Linked DNA regions of Drosophila melanogaster. Each later gene encodes a partner of the first gene's protein in a complex. Each region holds a gene or a part of one and is shown on either strand. Other genes may lie near its edges.

Evidence for each region. The genes of interacting proteins can lie anywhere in the genome.
Region 2: su(Hw) (region 1) and Cp190 share a complex: the UniProt entries of both Drosophila melanogaster proteins name them as parts of the gypsy chromatin insulator complex.

The regions. Positions count from the first base shown.
Region 1 is NT_033777.3:14,302,822-14,311,707, forward strand, and holds su(Hw) (suppressor of hairy wing), read right to left. Parts: upstream 5,769-8,886; 5' UTR 5,455-5,768; intron 5,388-5,454; exon of another isoform or gene 5,214-5,387; intron 5,150-5,213; 5' UTR 5,135-5,149; coding exon 4,277-5,134; intron 4,211-4,276; coding exon 3,783-4,210; intron 3,726-3,782; coding exon 3,593-3,725; intron 3,523-3,592; coding exon 3,332-3,522; intron 3,264-3,331; coding exon 3,139-3,263; intron 3,078-3,138; coding exon 1,987-3,077; 3' UTR 1,634-1,986; downstream 1-1,633. Other genes in the region: IFT54 (intraflagellar transport 54), read left to right, coding at 11-573, 639-1,589; Polr2I (RNA polymerase II subunit I), read left to right, coding at 6,366-6,755; CG31321 (uncharacterized protein), read left to right, coding at 7,695-8,118. UniProt on the Drosophila melanogaster protein: Component of the gypsy chromatin insulator complex which is required for the function of the gypsy chromatin insulator and other endogenous chromatin insulators.
Region 2 is NT_033777.3:15,268,800-15,277,215, forward strand, and holds Cp190 (centrosomal protein 190kD), read right to left. Parts: upstream 6,443-8,416; 5' UTR 6,326-6,442; intron 5,992-6,325; exon of another isoform or gene 5,813-5,991; 5' UTR 5,718-5,812; coding exon 5,316-5,717; intron 5,258-5,315; coding exon 4,258-5,257; intron 4,193-4,257; coding exon 3,252-4,192; intron 3,192-3,251; coding exon 2,244-3,191; 3' UTR 1,633-2,243; downstream 1-1,632. Other genes in the region: Zip88E (Zinc/iron regulated transporter-related protein 88E), read left to right, coding at 1-212, 282-541, 605-806, 938-1,316, 1,386-1,396; CG4338 (uncharacterized protein), read left to right, coding at 6,815-7,639; MRG15 (MORF-related gene 15), read right to left, coding at 7,786-8,416. UniProt on the Drosophila melanogaster protein: Plays a central role in chromatin domain organization and boundary function through recruitment by a range of insulator DNA-binding proteins, including ZIPIC, pita, CTCF, su(Hw), cliff and others.

The sequences.
Region 1 (8,886 bases):
GCTTTCGCAGAACTAACAACCAAACTGGATCTCAAAGTACGCACTTCAAAAATAGTTGCTGGCCAGGAACCGGAGCTCACCAATGAGCTCCTCCAGGCGATGGCCAGTGTTGCGGAAAAGAACTTGGAGTGGGACAGCATTGTGGATCAGGTGGTGATTTCCCACAGCAAAACACCACTGACGCTTACCAAGCCACCGAAGGAAACTAAAAATTCAAGCAAAAATCCCTCACCCGCCGGCAAGGATGAGGATGCAAAGCGACGCAAGGAGAAACGTATATCGCCTCAAGAGCAGAAGCTGCGCAAGGTCAAAGAACAGGTGTCCCGTTCTACTCCCCCCACCGAGAAGGATAAAGCATCCCAGAAGAAGTCCAAGGCACCCAAGGATGAGACGAAGTTAAGTCGACAAAACTCGAAGCAAAAGAGTCCGTCACCAGTTAAGCAGAAGTCCAAAGCCAAACTGCAGCCTTCAACAGAGAGCGATAATCTTAGCCAGTCTATGTCGCCAGTGGAAGAAGGATCAACCAAGCCTGCTGCAAGCGAAAGTGCTCCAAGCAAACCAGAGCCGGAAATGGTAAGAAAAATAAGTTAATTTGCTTTAAAATTAGAAATCCATAAGTTATGCGTATACCCAAACAGGTTCCTCCATTAAAAGAGAAGGAGGCAGTGGTGAGACCTGTCCAGGAAACTCCAACTGCTCCACCAGCTGAGCCTGAGAGTCGCAAATCCTCTAGCAGAAGTCGCCGTTCTAGTGGCAGCCACAGGCAACCGGAACCTAATCCCATTCCCAATGAGAGCCAATCCCAGCCAGCGGTGCAGTCGTCAGAAACCAGCTCTCCACCGGAGACCAACAGCGGCGAAGCGAAGCGGGAGGTTCCCCTCACCAGAGAGAACTCTAAGGAAGTGAATCAACGGCCCAGAACCTCACTTAGACCTCCATCCGCTCGACCCGCCTCCGCACGTCCCGGAGCTCCACGACGTCGCAATGTGGAGATCGTGCTCCAGCCAAACGATCAGATCAAAATGTCGGGCATAAATGTAAAGCTTGAAACCTTTGGCGACTTGGACGACGACGGAGAGAACCTGGTGATCATAGAAGATTCCGCCGCCCATGATATTGTCGAAGGTGGCGGTGACGAACCGGCATTGGAAGGACAGCTCGATGCCCAGGGACGATTGGTGCAGCAGATCTTGGAAACGCAAAAGGAACTGGTCAATCAAGGCGCCGAAGTGGAACCGCCTCCAGCACAGGCAGGCCGACAAACTTCTGCGCGCCAGGTGAACGACGTACGCGACGTAGTCCAAAAGCTCACCAAGTCGATAGGTCCGCTGGGTAAACTACTGGACTGCATACCCGAGGATTTTGATGCAATGCAGCTGGAGCTTACGATGTGGCGCGACACCTACACGCAGGCATCCACGGAACTAAAAAGGGAGCAGACTCTCACGGCATCTGCCACGGAGCCCCTGCAGCATCAGTTGCAGCAAATCCAAGCCAGCATTGCGGAGTACCGGGAGCTAATCGACGAGAGTCGCCACAAGATCTTGCAAAACAACGCACGTATTCTGAAGTTGATGATGGAACAGTAAGCATTGAGGATTAATAAGCATTGTTAAAAATTCAAGAGAGTTTTATCGAAAATATTGAATTTGTATATTTTATAATTAATAAGAGTACTATAAAAATAGCCATGCATATATTGCTTGGTAACATCATTCAATTCAAAAATATATAAAATCTATATAATAATATCAAAATATCTTTGATATGTAATATGTTGGTTTGTTTGTTTTTGGGTAATTTGTCAATGCGCAAGATGTCTGAATATTCAAGCAACAGACGGTAAGTTTCTCTTTTAAGGTCACTTGGTGTTTGTACCAAAACCAACGATCTTAAAAATACAAATGTTGTAAAAATCATCAACGATCAATTCCTAGAATATGGTTTTTGTGCGGTAATTGTACGCATGCATCAAGGGCTGGAAAATCAAGCTTTCTCTTGTTCGCCTACAGGTTTTTTCTTATTTTCCCGGACCACCTCCTCTGAGTTATCCTTATCCACAGCTTTCCCCACGATCTCCTTCTTTTCAGATTTCGCCGAAACTTCCTTCTTTTCCGGTTTCTCTCTGATTTCATTTGTTTTAGTTTCGCCTGTGACCGACACCGCTTCTTCATCACCTGAATGTGACTCATTGTCTTTGTCCAATCCACCTTCGTCCTGATCCTCATCTCCCAGTACATATTCGATCACATCGTCGATGGGGAAATTATTGAGCAGCGACTTGATGGAATCGTTGTGAATGACCACGGTAAAGAGCAGTTTGCAGTACTCTCGCATGCGGCTACCGTAGTCAAGCTCAGCGTAGTTTTCGCCACCTTTGGTTAGGTCGTGGCCACAGTTCTCGATCACTTTGCAGAGCACCGTCTCCTCGGGGGCATTGGGCCAGCCGTATTTCTTTAGGATCGGTGGATCCACTAGCATATCAATAAGTTTACCCACATTCTCTTTGAGCTTTATGTCCTCCTCAGTTAGAATTTCGCCACTGAAGTCATCCTCGCTACATGATTCTTCCAAATTATCTGCGATGGCAGCGGCCAGACTGGCGGCCAGGGATTTACGCTGCTCTTTCTTTACCACCGGCGAGACCTGCGCCTCCTCCTTCTTCGCCTCGGGCTTAACGCCAGCCTCATCCGTCAGCTGCTCTCCCTCGATGGCCCCGTCCAGGGGCAGAATTGTGTATGTTTCGTTTTCTAGTGTAATGGTCTGGGCCGCGCCATCGCCTTCGTCCACGAGGAATTCACGCACCACAACGCCATTCCCGTCCGTTTGGCTAGAAATTAACGAGCCCGCCGATGTGTTTAACGCCACTGGTACAACCTCCTCCGATTCGATGTCCTTCTTTGCCCGCTTTGATGGATGCGGCTCAACGCCAAAAATGTCATCCGGATCGCATTCGTGAACGGTGCGTATGTGCCGTCGCAGGGTATCGCTGCTGTCAAAGTTCTTATCGCAAATGGCGCAATCCGTGCGTTCCATAATTTTGACGGCCGATCGCATTGATGACCGTTGTTGTTTCGCTACAAAGGGTAGGAGCGGGATTAAAGCCTTGATTATTGCCAATTGTCGATTCCAACTTACGGCTGTGTTTTCCCTCGTCCATATGCTCCTTGAGCAATGCTGGAGTGCGGAAATTACGCTTGCACTCGGCGCAGGAAAAGACGGGGCGTTTTGTGCGAGAATGGGTCTTCACATGGCGCTCAAGTCTGCGAAACAAAATTGCAATAAGTAAGTAGGGCTAACAGAAAAGATAAAAGGTTTTTTAATATCTTACTGTTTCTCTGTTTTGAATTTTTCGTCGCATTGCTCACAGGGAAAGGGGCGAATATGGGTTTTGGAATGGGTGCGCAGCTGGGTGGCCTGGATAAAACTCTTGCCACATTCATCACACTTGTGCGGACGCTCTCCAGTGTGCCGTTTCATGTGACGATTGAGCACTTCCTTTACGGCAAATGCTTGGTTGCACTAAAAGGTAATAGAATACCGCATTGTTACAATAGGTTAAATGAAAAGTTACGGAAGTTTTAAGACTAACCACAGTGCAACTGTATGGTTTCTCGCCAGTGTGATAGCGTCGATGCTTTTTAAGGGCCACCAATGCAGAAAACTTCTTGTCGCAAAGATCGCAGTCAAATGGTTTCTCCCCCGTATGAGTGCGTATGTGAATGCTGCGAAAATATACCGAACATTACTTTATGTCTTTTAAAATCAATTAGAAAACCTACTTCAGCGTGGACAGGCTGTAGAAACAATTCTTGCACGTGTGGCACATGTACTCCGGCTTTTTAACCACCTGTGTACCCAAATGCTGCTTCAAATGCGATCGCAGGTTGTCCAGCCGATAGAAGACACGATCGCACACCTTGCAGCTCATGGTATCGGTCTCGTTCGATGAGCACGATGAGTACTTCTGGTGGCGCTTCAAGTGGTACGAGCGGGTGAAGTCCTTGCCGCAGATCTTGCATGCATACGGCTTGCCACGTGACTTGTGCTGTTCCTCGTGGAGCGCCAACAAGGCCTCGCTGCGCAAGTTGGCATTGCAAATGGAGCAAGGAAAATCGCTGAACTCGGAGTGAGTGATGAAAATGTGGCGTTCGTAACTGGTCTGTGTCTTAAACGACTTGGGGCAGTCGGGACAGTTAATGTGACCCAGCTGAAAGGAAAATGTGGTATGCGAAAGTTATGCTTACTTCTCTTGGTATCAATCTTTATGACTTACATGGAAGGTGTCGTAACTTTCGCTGCAGCAGAAGCATATGTCCTTCTTCTCCATCACCACGGCATCCTTCTCGATCTTCTCCAGGTTCTTAAGCATGTCGGCTTTGCGCAAATGATACCCACTGTCATAGCGACAGAACTCTAGATGCTTTTTCAGACTCTGAACGCGACGGAAGGTCTTGTAGCATTTGCCACACACATGCTCCACGATCTCCTTGATCTTTGTCTGGCTAGAGTTGCCCTTGCCTGAGGAGTCTTCACCGTCCTCATCACCATCCTCCCCTAGATCCTCATCGTCCTCGGTGACAACGATCTCCTGGCCGTTGTTATTTTCTATTCTGCCCGGAACTACTTCCTCATCATCCGCTAGAATGAAATCAATGGTGTCATCTTCTTCGGTGACCACGGTAACCGTGGTGTCCGCCTTGGTATTTTCTGATTTCACAGCCTGAAGTACATAGTGCTCCATTTTCTTTCTTTTACTGGGAGACGTCTTGATCTTGGTAGTTTCCACGGCTGTCACGGTAGCACTGGGTGTCTTTTTCTCGTTCAGAATCTTCACAGTGGAAGCAGCCGGAGCTGTGCTCTTTGTGGCGCCCCGTTTCTCAGTTTTCGGAGTGCCCAGTATTTCTTCATTGAGTATTTTGATGCGCGATCCAGCGACACTGCCACGCTTCTCCTGCTTGTTGGAGGGAGTTCTTGATGTGGTAGTAGTAGTGCTTGCCTCCGAATCCTCACCAGCTCCCACGTCATTCAAGAGCTTCATCCTGGTGGCGGGACGTTTGTCCTTAGGCGGCGAAATGTTTTCCACACCCAGCAGCTTGCCCTTCTTTTCCTTGCCCTCCTTGGAGGCACTCATGTTGGTGATACCAGCCTGCAATTAAGATCGATTGGATGATAATTCAGGATCAGGATAACCAGTGACCGCTTTAGTCTACTTTTAGGCACGTGATTTACTGAACATCACATTTTGCCAGCGTCACCAACACACGCCCAAAAGCTGCTAAGAAAAAATGGCGTCGCGCTGTTCGATCTTTACGATCGATCGGCCTTGGTGTGAGCGAGACAACACTACCTGCGCCTGACGCACAGAAAACGCAACAAGTTTTCTTCTGAAATAAAATTGTATTTCAAAGGGGTAGCAAATAATTCTAATACACTCGCAAATCCGTAGCATACTTTTCAAATATTTAATGTGATTTTGTGCCGGCGAAGGACGTGGAGGATCGGTTTTAACCACTTATTTTGCTGATTAGAAGTGCACTTTTCTGCTCCGCAGCGAAAGAAAGTGACTGCCATCGCCGATAAAGAGCGTGAAATTATCAAGTCACTGGCTAAGGTATTTGCTTCACAAACATGTCCTCATATCACGGGATGCGTTCCTTAAAGGGTTTTGACCGCATTTCCGATAATAAATCACAATTTACCTAATTTTATGCTTTAAATTCCAACACGACAAGCGTTTGTGTATGAAAATTCAGTGTGACCGTTGCATGTAGGTTGGAAAATACCATTAATTACAACAACCCGTGAAAAAATAATCTGAACATGCCGCCATGAAAAGTACAAAGAAATTTCCTCTGTTTTGAATCTTCTGGGTTGTAAATTTGTAATAATTCCAACATAAATTTAAAATAAATAGCCGGTGTCTGGCTTAATATTATATTAACTTTTTATTGGTTAACTTTGTAAGCATAGATTAATGATCCGAACAATAAAGCTTATATGGAACATTTCACTATTTATATATAATTTCAGTCGAAGGCCACCGCAGCCGTTGCTCGGTAAGATAATTATCAGGTTTAACATTTTATACAAAAAGTAATTGAATAAAATACAAATAAATGCATTCTTTAATATGCATTTTGATAAAATAAAAAACAAAATATATAAGCATATAATTAAAATAGCAGTGCTCACAAGGGTTAAAGGCTAGTATGTTAATGAGGTATACCTATCCCATGATCTCGGTATATTTAAGCCGCCTTGCCACGGTCACACTTTCGCCAATTGCAACGATAAAAAGGTAAATAAAAGCCGCATTAACTCACAAATTGCAATTAACTAGCAATAATTGTAAGCCAATAGCCATGACGACTGCCTTTGATGCCGCACACACTGAGGGGCCGGGATTCGTGGGCATTCGGTTCTGCCAGGAGTGCAACAACATGCTGTACCCCAAGGAGGACAAGGAGAACAAGATCCTGCTGTACGCCTGCCGGAATTGCGATTACAAACAGGAGGCGGACTCCAACTGCATCTACGTGAACAAGATTATGCACGAGATCGACGAGCTGACCCACATTGTGCCCGACGTGATTTCCGATCCCACGCTGCCGCGCACCGAAGACCACGCTTGTCCCAAGTGCTCCCATCGGGAGGCGGTCTTCTTCCAGGCGCAAACTCGTCGCGCCGAAGAGGAGATGCGACTGTACTACGTGTGCACCAACCAGAACTGCACCCACCGTTGGACGGAGTAGAAACTGACGACCCATCTGCCTCTAATTGTAGCCCTAAGTAATCGAAGGCACTTTGCAATCGTACAATTGGAATTCCCCCATGGCTATGCCGCAAAAACATCCCACGTGCAGCTCCATTCTCGGTTGTCGCCTAATGTAATAACATTCGCACTGAAAAAAAATGCATGTGATCCGCATGACTTTGAATCACTTGCAAGAACTTCGATTTGGTTTGTATAAATGTTTAAATAGCTCAGTCTTAAAAATAAATATATAAGTTCATTGCGAGAAAACTGCTGTATCATCTTACTATATGTTTTGGCAAAACTACTTAATTTCAATGATCAAATGTTCAAGTGCAGTTGAGAAAACAACGAAAGTGTTCCGGGTTTATGATAAAATTTAGCAGGTTAAGCTGCATATTTAGGCAACATAAACTGCAAAACCAGATTTCATAGTTATAAACTTAATCAAGTCAGCCCGCTTGTATTCAAATGTCTTCATTATTTATTTATAAATGAATGTGTACTATGACTGACAATCTATGAATGTAAAACTGAGCGAGCAACGAATCTCCCCGAGGCATGTGCGAATTCCACAGTTCACGGCCCGGTGACAATTCTTCATATTTATCATTGTTCTGCTCTAATCGAAGCTGACAACAAACAAAATAAATAAAAAAAATAAGAACCGAAAGCGACGAAGAAATGATTGAACAAGTTTCTTGTGCGTATCAAACGACTGCCCATTTGAGTATTTGAGTAGTAGACCTGGCTTGGCTTGGCCCGATCCCCGGAATCGTCGCTTAGTTTAGTCTGAGCTTAGAACCTGGCGCGACGTGTTGATCAAATCGCTTAAAATGTGCTGCTAGAGCAACCTGCCGAGCCAGAGACGTATCGAATCGAATAGAATCGTATAAAAAATAAGAGTTTTGAGGAATTCAGCAAGTGCTATAAAAAAATGGCAAAGCCAAGGTCATCGGCAGATGCGGCTGGAAATGGCAGTGGAGCAGTGGATGCAGAGCCCAAGCTCAACTATTTCCAGAAACTGTGGCGCTATCGCCACTATCTGGTCATCGAGCCCTTCTTCTTTTTCTACTTCATGGCCTCCGTGTTCAATGCGGTGGCCATGCAGAATTTCCCACTGGACAAGGCGTGTCGCGTGAATCTCGGCTACAACAAGATCGTCTGCGACACAATGCTGGACAAATCGGAGCTGGGCATCGAGTGCGATGACTTTGATTTCGAGAACACCACACAGGGCGCGACGCCGGATCTCGCTGACCTTGTCATCGGAGCCACTGGCTTCAACTACACGGTGTGCAAGGCGGAACTGGAGGCACAGATCCTGGCGGCAGATGTCTCCGGGAAACGAGCTCCCATGGGTAAGCCAGGCGACAAACATACACATATATCATACACATAACACGAGTCGTTCATTAAGTATACGCCGTTTTGATTTCGGTTATGGGTTTGGCATTAGCATTGCTTATATTTCAGGTTTGTGCTTAAATTAAATTCGAATTCTTTTCACATCTCGACTCCTCTGCATTTTAAATTTCCCCTGCCCCTCGAATGGGTTAGGTACACTCGAAAAATAATAGTATTATCAAGTGATAATGGGACTAGAAAGACATTGAGATACTTTACTCAAGCATAAGATTGTAAATATCTTAGAGAACTTTCTTTAAATTGAAATGGAATAGCTATATATACACATTTTCTTTGAGTGCACATTTTTTTCTGAAGGAATCCGTGTCTTTTGATGGATGTCGTCGGAAATTAGCGGTTATCCGAACATCTAATTACCTTCTTTAATCGATTCGCTCATAAGTTTCTCCTTCGCCTTCTGTCTTCTGATGGTGCTAACAAAAATTCCCCCATTCTATCGCTATTGCCGGGTGATTAATTTGGAGCCGCTTCCAAAGACCTCAGCCTAGTGGATACCTAGTAATCGTAATCGCAATCGCTCCAAACCTGTTCCTTACATCGTTGTGCGCTGAGTGACTTTCGTGGGCTCATAGAGCCATTGTCAATGGCACTTTGTTTGAGCCATAGATAATAGCTTATATTCCCAATTTTTAGAATAAACGCCATCCGAATATGTCATTTGCATAGAGCTGCGCGGAATTCCGGTTCTGTGCGCCAGAGGA
Region 2 (8,416 bases), 970 kb from region 1:
CCCCAAGCCCCACCCTGGCTGCCACGAGTCGCGGCGACTTGGAAAAAGTGCTGGCTATGCTGGTCCTCGGACTCGGGAGTCTTTTGTTCGGATTGCTGCCCGCCTTTATATCGGAACGGAATCGTCGCCGCTTCCCGCTGACCGCATCCCTGCTCCTGTGCTTCGGAGCGGGCATTCTGCTAGCCACCGCACTGGTGCACATTCTGCCCGAGGTAAGAGCTTGGACTGCGATCGTGTGTGTGGCTGCAATTTGATAACCTGCTGACTTACGCATGCAACAGGTGCGCGAACAAATGGACTCGAAATTCGCTGAGGTTGCCATGTGCGGCGGGTTCTTCATCATCTACTTTATCGACGAGTTCATACACTACTTCTTTGGCGAGGCCATTCAGCACACTCATGCCCACGATGCAGAGACTCCAGCAACCGAGCCACCAAGACGTCCCACTAATGACAATGGTTATGGCGCAGTGGACGAACGAGCGCCCCTTTTATCAGCGGAACCCAATACGTCACATGGGCATTCGCACCATCATAGCCAGTAGGTTTATTGCATTTCCCTTCCCGCAGCCAAAACTAATTGCTTTGTGCTTCGATTACGCAGCGATCATGACCACAATCACCCGGCCAGCGCATCTGGCTGTAATGATGCCAGTGTAGAGGACGCCAACGCCCGCATCTGCCACACCAGCCACACGGAACCCTGCGCCCAATCCATGACAGGCACTCTGGGTCTCTTTGTCGCCCTGTCACTGCACTCGGCCATCGAAGGACTCGCCATCGGCGTTCAGAACTCTTCCACAAAGGTCTGTGCCGCCTGCCTTGACATAGTTAGACTAGATCGGCTATAGTGCGCAATCTTAGGCAAATATTGAAGCAAAGAGATGCGAGGGCTTAGTCCAATTAGATAACCGGAATCTGCTTTGTCTCGTCGTAGGTTCTGTTTCTTCTAGGGGCCGTCGCCTGCCACAAGTTCGTGATGGGCTTTTGTCTGGGGCTCGAGTTCCGCTCGAATCCGCAGACGAGTTTTCGCGCCCAGTTCGTCGGCATTTCGGTGTTTGCCCTGGGCGCCGTCATTGGCATTGGCCTGGGCATGCTTATCGTGGACGTGCCCGCCGCTTGGTCCAGCAAAACTCTGCCTATCGTCCAAGCTCTGGCCGGAGGCACACTCTTCTACGTCACCGTCTGCGAGGTGATACCGCGCGAGAAGGCGCGCTGGCACTCGAACTCAACGCGACGCTGGGCGGGATTTGCACAGTTTGCAACTGTGCTCGCCGGCTTTGCGACCATGTGCATCATAAACTTTTATCTTTCTGGTGCGTAGCATTATGTGATTTGCATTTCCCTTTCGACATTGCTGACCTATTTTCTTCGCGCCTTTTCAGATGAGGATTAGACATCTTTTCGTTGAGAAATCGTTTCAGCGCTGTGAGAAAATGTGCCGCTTTTTAAACTTAGAACACTTAGGATAATATTATGGATTGGCAGCTGTTAATCTCTTGTGTAAGACTTGTTACTTGTGCATTTCCAACTAATCTTGTTTTAGGTACATTGTCGATCTGCCGTAGGATAAGTAAAAAGTTCAGTCTTCTCGTCTACATTTATATTTTCTCTTTCTCCAAAGTTTGTGTTATTTTTTATGCTTTTATTATATGTAATAAACCTTACAATTAAGTTGTTAATCAAAAAAAGGGCATCCTCTTTTCCTTTTGATTAATCTTACTTAGCCAACCATTAAACGCAATCATTTTATTACTTTCTGGGGACATCATGTCACTGTTTTAAACGAATTAAAACAACATCTATGTAACTACATCTCTATATGTATGTAAATAGGCATATGTGTATATATATATATAGTGTTTACCTAATCGTGAAATGTTGCTTGGTTGCTCTATTGGTGGTGTATGTGTGAAGAAACGGACACTCATAAATAGCTAAATGTTGGGTTGTTTGGTCTCTGATCTCTCATTTAAGGTCATTTGGGGAACTCCTCTTAGATTTACGATTTTCATGCTAGCAGGGCAACATACTTGGGATGGGAGGGGATTTACAATTACGTGAGATGAGTAGATTAGATCTTATACACTTAAACCAGTGCATATGCATATCTTATCATTCACCTTGATCTTCATTAACAATTTAATTTACAATAGAAACCGAAAATTCGCGCCGAGCTCAGGTGCGTTTATCTGCTGACCTGCGTTGAATCGCCAAACTTAGAACATAAATAAATCTAGTAATTATAGCTCCTCCTTCGCCGCCGCACTAACCCCATTCTCATCCTCGTCCTCATCGTCGTCACCCCATTCGCTAATGAGGCTCTTGACCTTGTCCACGCTGGCTGCTTCACCTGACGTTGCTTCATCACCTGCTTTTGCACTTTCTAGTGTCGGCTTTTCTGCAGTGGTTACATCCTGTGTCTGGTTTGGTTTGTCCTCGACGGCTTCCTTCTCGTCTGCCGTTCTAGTATCTTCATTATTTTCGGCTGCTTTTTCCGCTGCTGGTTCATCAATCTCCATTTGTTCGGTAGATACCTGCGTAGGTGGCACCAGGTCATCCTCGTCCGTTACTGACCTATCTAACGCCTCTGTCGTCGCATTCTCTTCAGATTGAACAATGTCCTTCTCCTGATCAGGTTTCTCGGCCTCGGCAATTAACTCATCTAGCAGCTCTTTGCGTATGTTATCGGCCTCTAGATGCACATCATCCTCGCCCTCAGAGGCAGTTACCGCCTCTCTTAATTCCGCCACGGAATCGGAATGCGGAATTGGTGAATCCTCTTTGATAAATTCCTCTTGATCGTTTTCAAGCTCAGCCTCTTTCTTGATCTGGACCTCGGCCTTCGAAGCCTTCTCGTCCGCCGCTTCTGAGTCCACATCCATTTTCTCGGGCTGACTATTTATATTGGGGACTGCGTCAACTGCATCGTCCGCACTGGTGACAGACTCCTCACTTGCCTTTTCTTCAGTTGCCTCTTCGGGTCCCTTGTGTAGAGACTGGAGAGCCAAGTCAATATCATCTTCTTCCTCGTGTACTGTTGGCTCAGGGTCCTTGTTGGCTAGTTCGGATGCAAGCTCTGCGGTAGCGGGCTTATCGTCGACATCGTCATCGTTCTCATCCTCCGTCCAGTCGCCGGTAAGCTCCTTTAGCTTTTCACTAATGTCATCTCGCGGCTTATCCGATTTTGGCTGTAAGTTGTATGACTCATGTTGTAGATGTACTTGCATAAAAGTGTTTAATAAACTCACCTCCTTGTTGCTCTGTTCTTCAGACTCGGCTATAAGGTTTTCGGCCCATTCCAGGTTGTCAATGGACTCTTTGCTTTCATCAGCAATGTTCTTTTTGGCGCTCTCCACAGAGTCGGCAGCACCCAGTTCGCTATAGATTTGACTGTCATCATATTCCTCTTCGGTGCCGGCCAGGGATTTTTCATCGGTCTCCTGCTTGACGTGCTCCGCTTCTGGCTCACTGAGCACCATTACCACACCGCCGGCAGTGGCGCCTGCTTGCTGCTGGTTAAGCTGTGAGAGAATCTCTTTGCGCTGCTCATCAGTAAGCTCCACCTCATTGCCATCGGCGCCCACGAATTTGACTTCCTGCTGCACCTGTTCAACATCTTCCTCTTGCAGTTGCTCCTGTTGAGCTTGCTGCACTGTGATGGCACTGGTGGCTGGTAGACTTATGTCCGAAAGGATTCGCACTTTGCCAGTCTGCTCTGGTTCCTGCTCTTCGTCTCCTTCGGCCTCTTCCTCCTCGTCTTGCGAGCCGAGGAATTCTTCGTCCGTTTCATCGATAATGCCATCCTCCAAAGCCTGCTCCTTGTGGTAGCTCTTCATGTGTCTGTACAGCTGCAGCTCTTGCTCGAACACCTTGTTGCAGTAGATGCACTGCTGCTTGTTGTCGTCCGTGTGCACCTCGTTTATGTGCGCCTCCAACTCACCCTTGGTCCGGTAAGACTGGTTGCATAGCGCGCACTCGGCAAACGTATACAGCAGCGACTTGGTCTGGTGCTCCATATACATGTGGAAATGCAGTTCCCGGTTGTTGACAGACCTCCACCCGCAATGCTCACAAAGCGCCGGATCAATTGTCTCCTTGTGCGTGTTGATCAGATGGCGTCGGAAGCCTCGGTACGACGGAATGCTAATGGGTCGTCCGTTTACGCCGCATCTCAGGCACAGCCAGGGCCCTGAAATATAGATATTCATTAGTAGTTGTTTTTGGGAACCTATTACCTACAAATGTTGTACTCACCAGTAGTATTCTCTGCTCCCTGAGCGATCAAGGCGTGCATTGTCTTACTATCAATGCGTCTCTTCTGGGCTGCGGCTGTATTTGCTGGTGGATTCGCCCCGGTTCCCTGGTTACCGGTTGTCTGCGAGGTTCCCGACTTTTGCTGAGAGCTAGCCGCCTTCTGTTGTGCTGTGATTAGTGGCGTACTCTTGTCGGCTTTGAAAGAAACGTGCAGTTTCTTGTGTGGCGATGTAGTTGCGGATGACTGGTTCGCCGGGGGTTTTACTGTCGCTGGAGCAGATTTTTCGGTCGGCGCTGCCGGGGTATTGGGCATAATCTTTAGCTTTATGTTTTTGTGGCCCTTTACAATGTGCGGATACTGGCGCAAGACTTCGGCAATGATCTTGGTGTGATTCAGCTTGGCGTTGGAGGAGTCCTTGACAATTATTGTTGGGGTCTGGCTGGGTGAGTCCTGTTTCAAGATAATGGTGGTGGATCCATGTTCTAGTTGGGTCTGTGTACCCTGTGGGGATTGCTGCTTAGATGTAGATGGCTGCGGTGGCATATCATCGTCATCATCGTCCCCGGCATGGACATCATCATAAAGCATTCCTCCATCGTACTCAGGATCGTTATCTCCGTACTCAGCGGCGATTTGCTTTCGCATCCGTTGTTGCTCAGCGAATTCCTTAACCTCTTCCAAACTGGGCTTCTTGGATGGCGGCGATAGCAGGCTTGTCTGTGCTGGTCTCTTGTTATTGTTATAACCCTTTCGCAGCTGCTCGAATGGTGACGTTGGCTCCTGCTTCACATTGCTACTATCTCCATACGGCGAACGATTTGAGCCACCTGATGTTCGGCTCATTGTGTTGCCAGTTGACCCGCGCTGTGTGTTGGCTCGTTGCGCGATGGGTGTGGCTACGTTTCGCGATTGCGGCGAAGGACCCAAGACGCGCTGTTGTGGAAGACCCGAACTGGGCTGTCCAACTGTGCGCCGGCGTATTCCCTTTGGACTAGGCGGCTAAAGAAAATAAAAGGTTACAAAATATTTTCACAAATGATGAATTGCCACCACTCACCCTTTGCTGGCGATTAACGTTCTCCATGGTGCGACGGTGCGCCTCTAGCAGCTTCAACAGCACCGTCATGTTCATTTCCTTGGCGGTGCGCAACAGCTTGCCGTACATTTTAAGCTCAAACTCCAGGGTGCCTGTGTACATGAAGTTGACAATGGGCACCACCACGTCCGCCTGGAACTCGTTGGGCATGATGAGGGCATCGTCGACGATCTCGCAGGTCTGCTCCAGTACATTGAAGTAGTCGGTGCAGGCGCTGAGCACCAGACGGTGTACCTTTAGCTGTGAATTGTCCCGAAACTGCAGCGTCAAATCGCAGTAATCCGTTTTATTAAAGAAGTTCTGCAGCTTCTGCAGGAAGAAGACTCCCCAGTTGTCCACTTTCACGGACTTGACTTCACCCATATTGCTGTGTGCTTGGCTAGTGGCCGTGCTCTCCGTTTCCGTATCCTTATCGTTAGCCTCCCCGTGGTTTCGCTTGCTCTGGCTTCAGGGCGCAACTGTACTCACGCAGGGGTAAGGAGTCGGAAAAAGCGTATTGGGATGGGACGCAGGTGAATGGGTAAAACAAGAAAGAATAACAATTAGTAAGTATGGTATATTCCGCTGTTAGTTTCAAATAGACGCCCGTTGATTTTGGGTTATTCGGTTTATTTTGCTCTGCCGCCACGGCGCGAAATGCAACTCGCAAATATCGATATACGCCTGTGTACGTGTGACAGTTTCGCGGGCGTATGTGTGCGATGTGCGCGTCGCCAGGCTTCTTGTATTATTTATCAGTAATTGTTCATTGTCCGCAATTCTGCAATGTTTTCTTGTAAGTCCAACTTTGGCATCTTTCGGTGGGTGGCATTTTTTGAGCCCTTTTGGCGCGCCTGTCCACTTCACACAACAATGGTTTTTTTGGGGCACGCACAAATCACTTTGACCTCAGCGGCTTGTTTACTGCGTGTCCTTTGATTGAATGTACTTTTTTCAGACAATCGCCGCACAATTGCACTTTTAATACATACATTTCTTTGAATTGCACACTACTTTTGCCGGACAAATTATAATTTTTTTCCAGAGTCAGGTCGCCATATTCTTTTCCATTCATCGTTGGCGTGACAGGGTTGCGCTCGGCAGCTATCGATAGCCATGCGATAACCTCAGTCTCATGCTTAACATTTTTAAGGTGACGTAAACGCAGATGAAGTTAATCGTTAAGTCTAAAAATATTTGAATATGATATACTTTAAGGTTATTGCAGTTTAAGCTAAATCTTACTAAACACAATACATATACTTAAAATACTTTAATAAATATTGTTTTGCAGTTGAAAACAAAATACATTTACTTAAACTATTGAAATTTTGAAAAGTGACATCGTAATGTGTCACATTTCTTGCGCCACCCTTCTTTGCAATCAAAATATATAAAACGGGTCGTCGGCTTGGCCACCACGAGACGTTAAAAACACTTTGATTCTTTTTTGCTTTGATAAAGTTTTAAACCAAAACATAATGAGTGGACGGAACCGCGGCAAAGGAAAGAAGGGTGGAGGAGGACCCTACCGCAATGTCAAAGCGAATCACAATTGTGCCCGCAGCTTTGCTCAGCAGGCCAACGAGCTGGCCAGCAGCAGTAGCAGCGAAAATGAAAGTTCCGACTCGGAATCCTCGGGAGATGGAGCCCAAAATGATCTCGGCCAGCCGCCGGAGTTTGCGGTGGCCATGTGGGACCTCAACCACTGCGATCCAAAGAAGTGTTCGGGCAGGAAACTGGCACGCCTAGGACTCATTTCAAATCTTCGACTGGGTCAGAAGTTTCCTGGCCTTGTCCTCTCGCCCGTTGGCCAGTTGTGTGTAAGTCCGCTGGATCGCGATGTGGTGGCCTCTTCGGGCGTGGCCGTGATCGACTGCTCGTGGGCCAAGCTGGACGAGACGCCCTTTGGAAGGATGCGCAGCCCACATCCGCGACTGCTGCCCTTCTTGGTGGCCGCCAATCCCATCAACTACGGAAAGCCCTGCAAGCTCAGCTGCGTGGAGGCCATAGCCGCCACTCTATACATCTGTGGATTCACGGAAGAGGCTCGCTGGTTTCTGGGCAAGTTCTCATGGGGTCATGCCTTTCTGGAGCTAAACGACAAGCTTCTCAATGCCTATGCAGCCTGCAAGAGCAGCGATGAGATTGTTAAGGTGCAGAATGAGTACCTGGAGAAGGAACAGCAGGAGCGGGATAAGCCTAGGGATCTTCGCGACTTCTATCCCACCAGCAGTAGTAGTAGTAGTAGCGAGACGGAGACCGAGGGCGATGATGAAGACACAAAAGCGAAACCGAAGAACTAATACAAGGTGCTGACATTTATTACCTTATGACAAAACATTTTACTTGTGTTTTAATTTACAATTTGGGAGCAAATTGAGAGCAACCACCGAATTATTGCAAACTGTTTTGATGAAATATTTACTTCAAGTCAAGAAAAGATTATTGCTTACTGTGCATTTCGCACGTACTCGGGATCAACGTTGATAAAGTTGCTCATGCTGAAAAATATTGAGCTGTTCTTTACGAGGAATTTAAGGAAATCCTGCACGTGCGTGAGTAGGTTCTGCATGGACTGCTGATCCAACGCAGAGTAGCTGAGCATTGAGCCAAGGCGGACAAACAGACGCAGCAGGTGAAAAGATCCGTAAAGCTCGGACAACGGTGTGTCCGGATGCTTCTGCATCACATCCGCGTACTGGGTGCGTTCGAATTTGTACAGCAACTGGGAGCCCAGCATTACATTGAAGTACTCTACAATTCCGTCGAGTACATCGTTTATGGCAACCTCCTTGCTGGCACTGGTCGATTTCACGGACTTCTTGTGCGCCAAATACTGCTCAGAGATCTGCTGCACGGTAACCTTGGCGGGCAGCTCCAGCAGTTTGTGCTCCCGCACCACCGCATACCAGTCGTCGGTCAGATAGTGCTTTAACTCGTCGGGTATCTTAATCTTGACCTCCACCTTAGCTGCGTAGGCCTCCTCGCTTTCCACACACGGTGCCGGCTCCGTGGTGGGTGTGGATGGAGTGGTAGTGGGCGGCAACGGCTTTTCTGCTACATCGCTTCCCGTAAGAGAA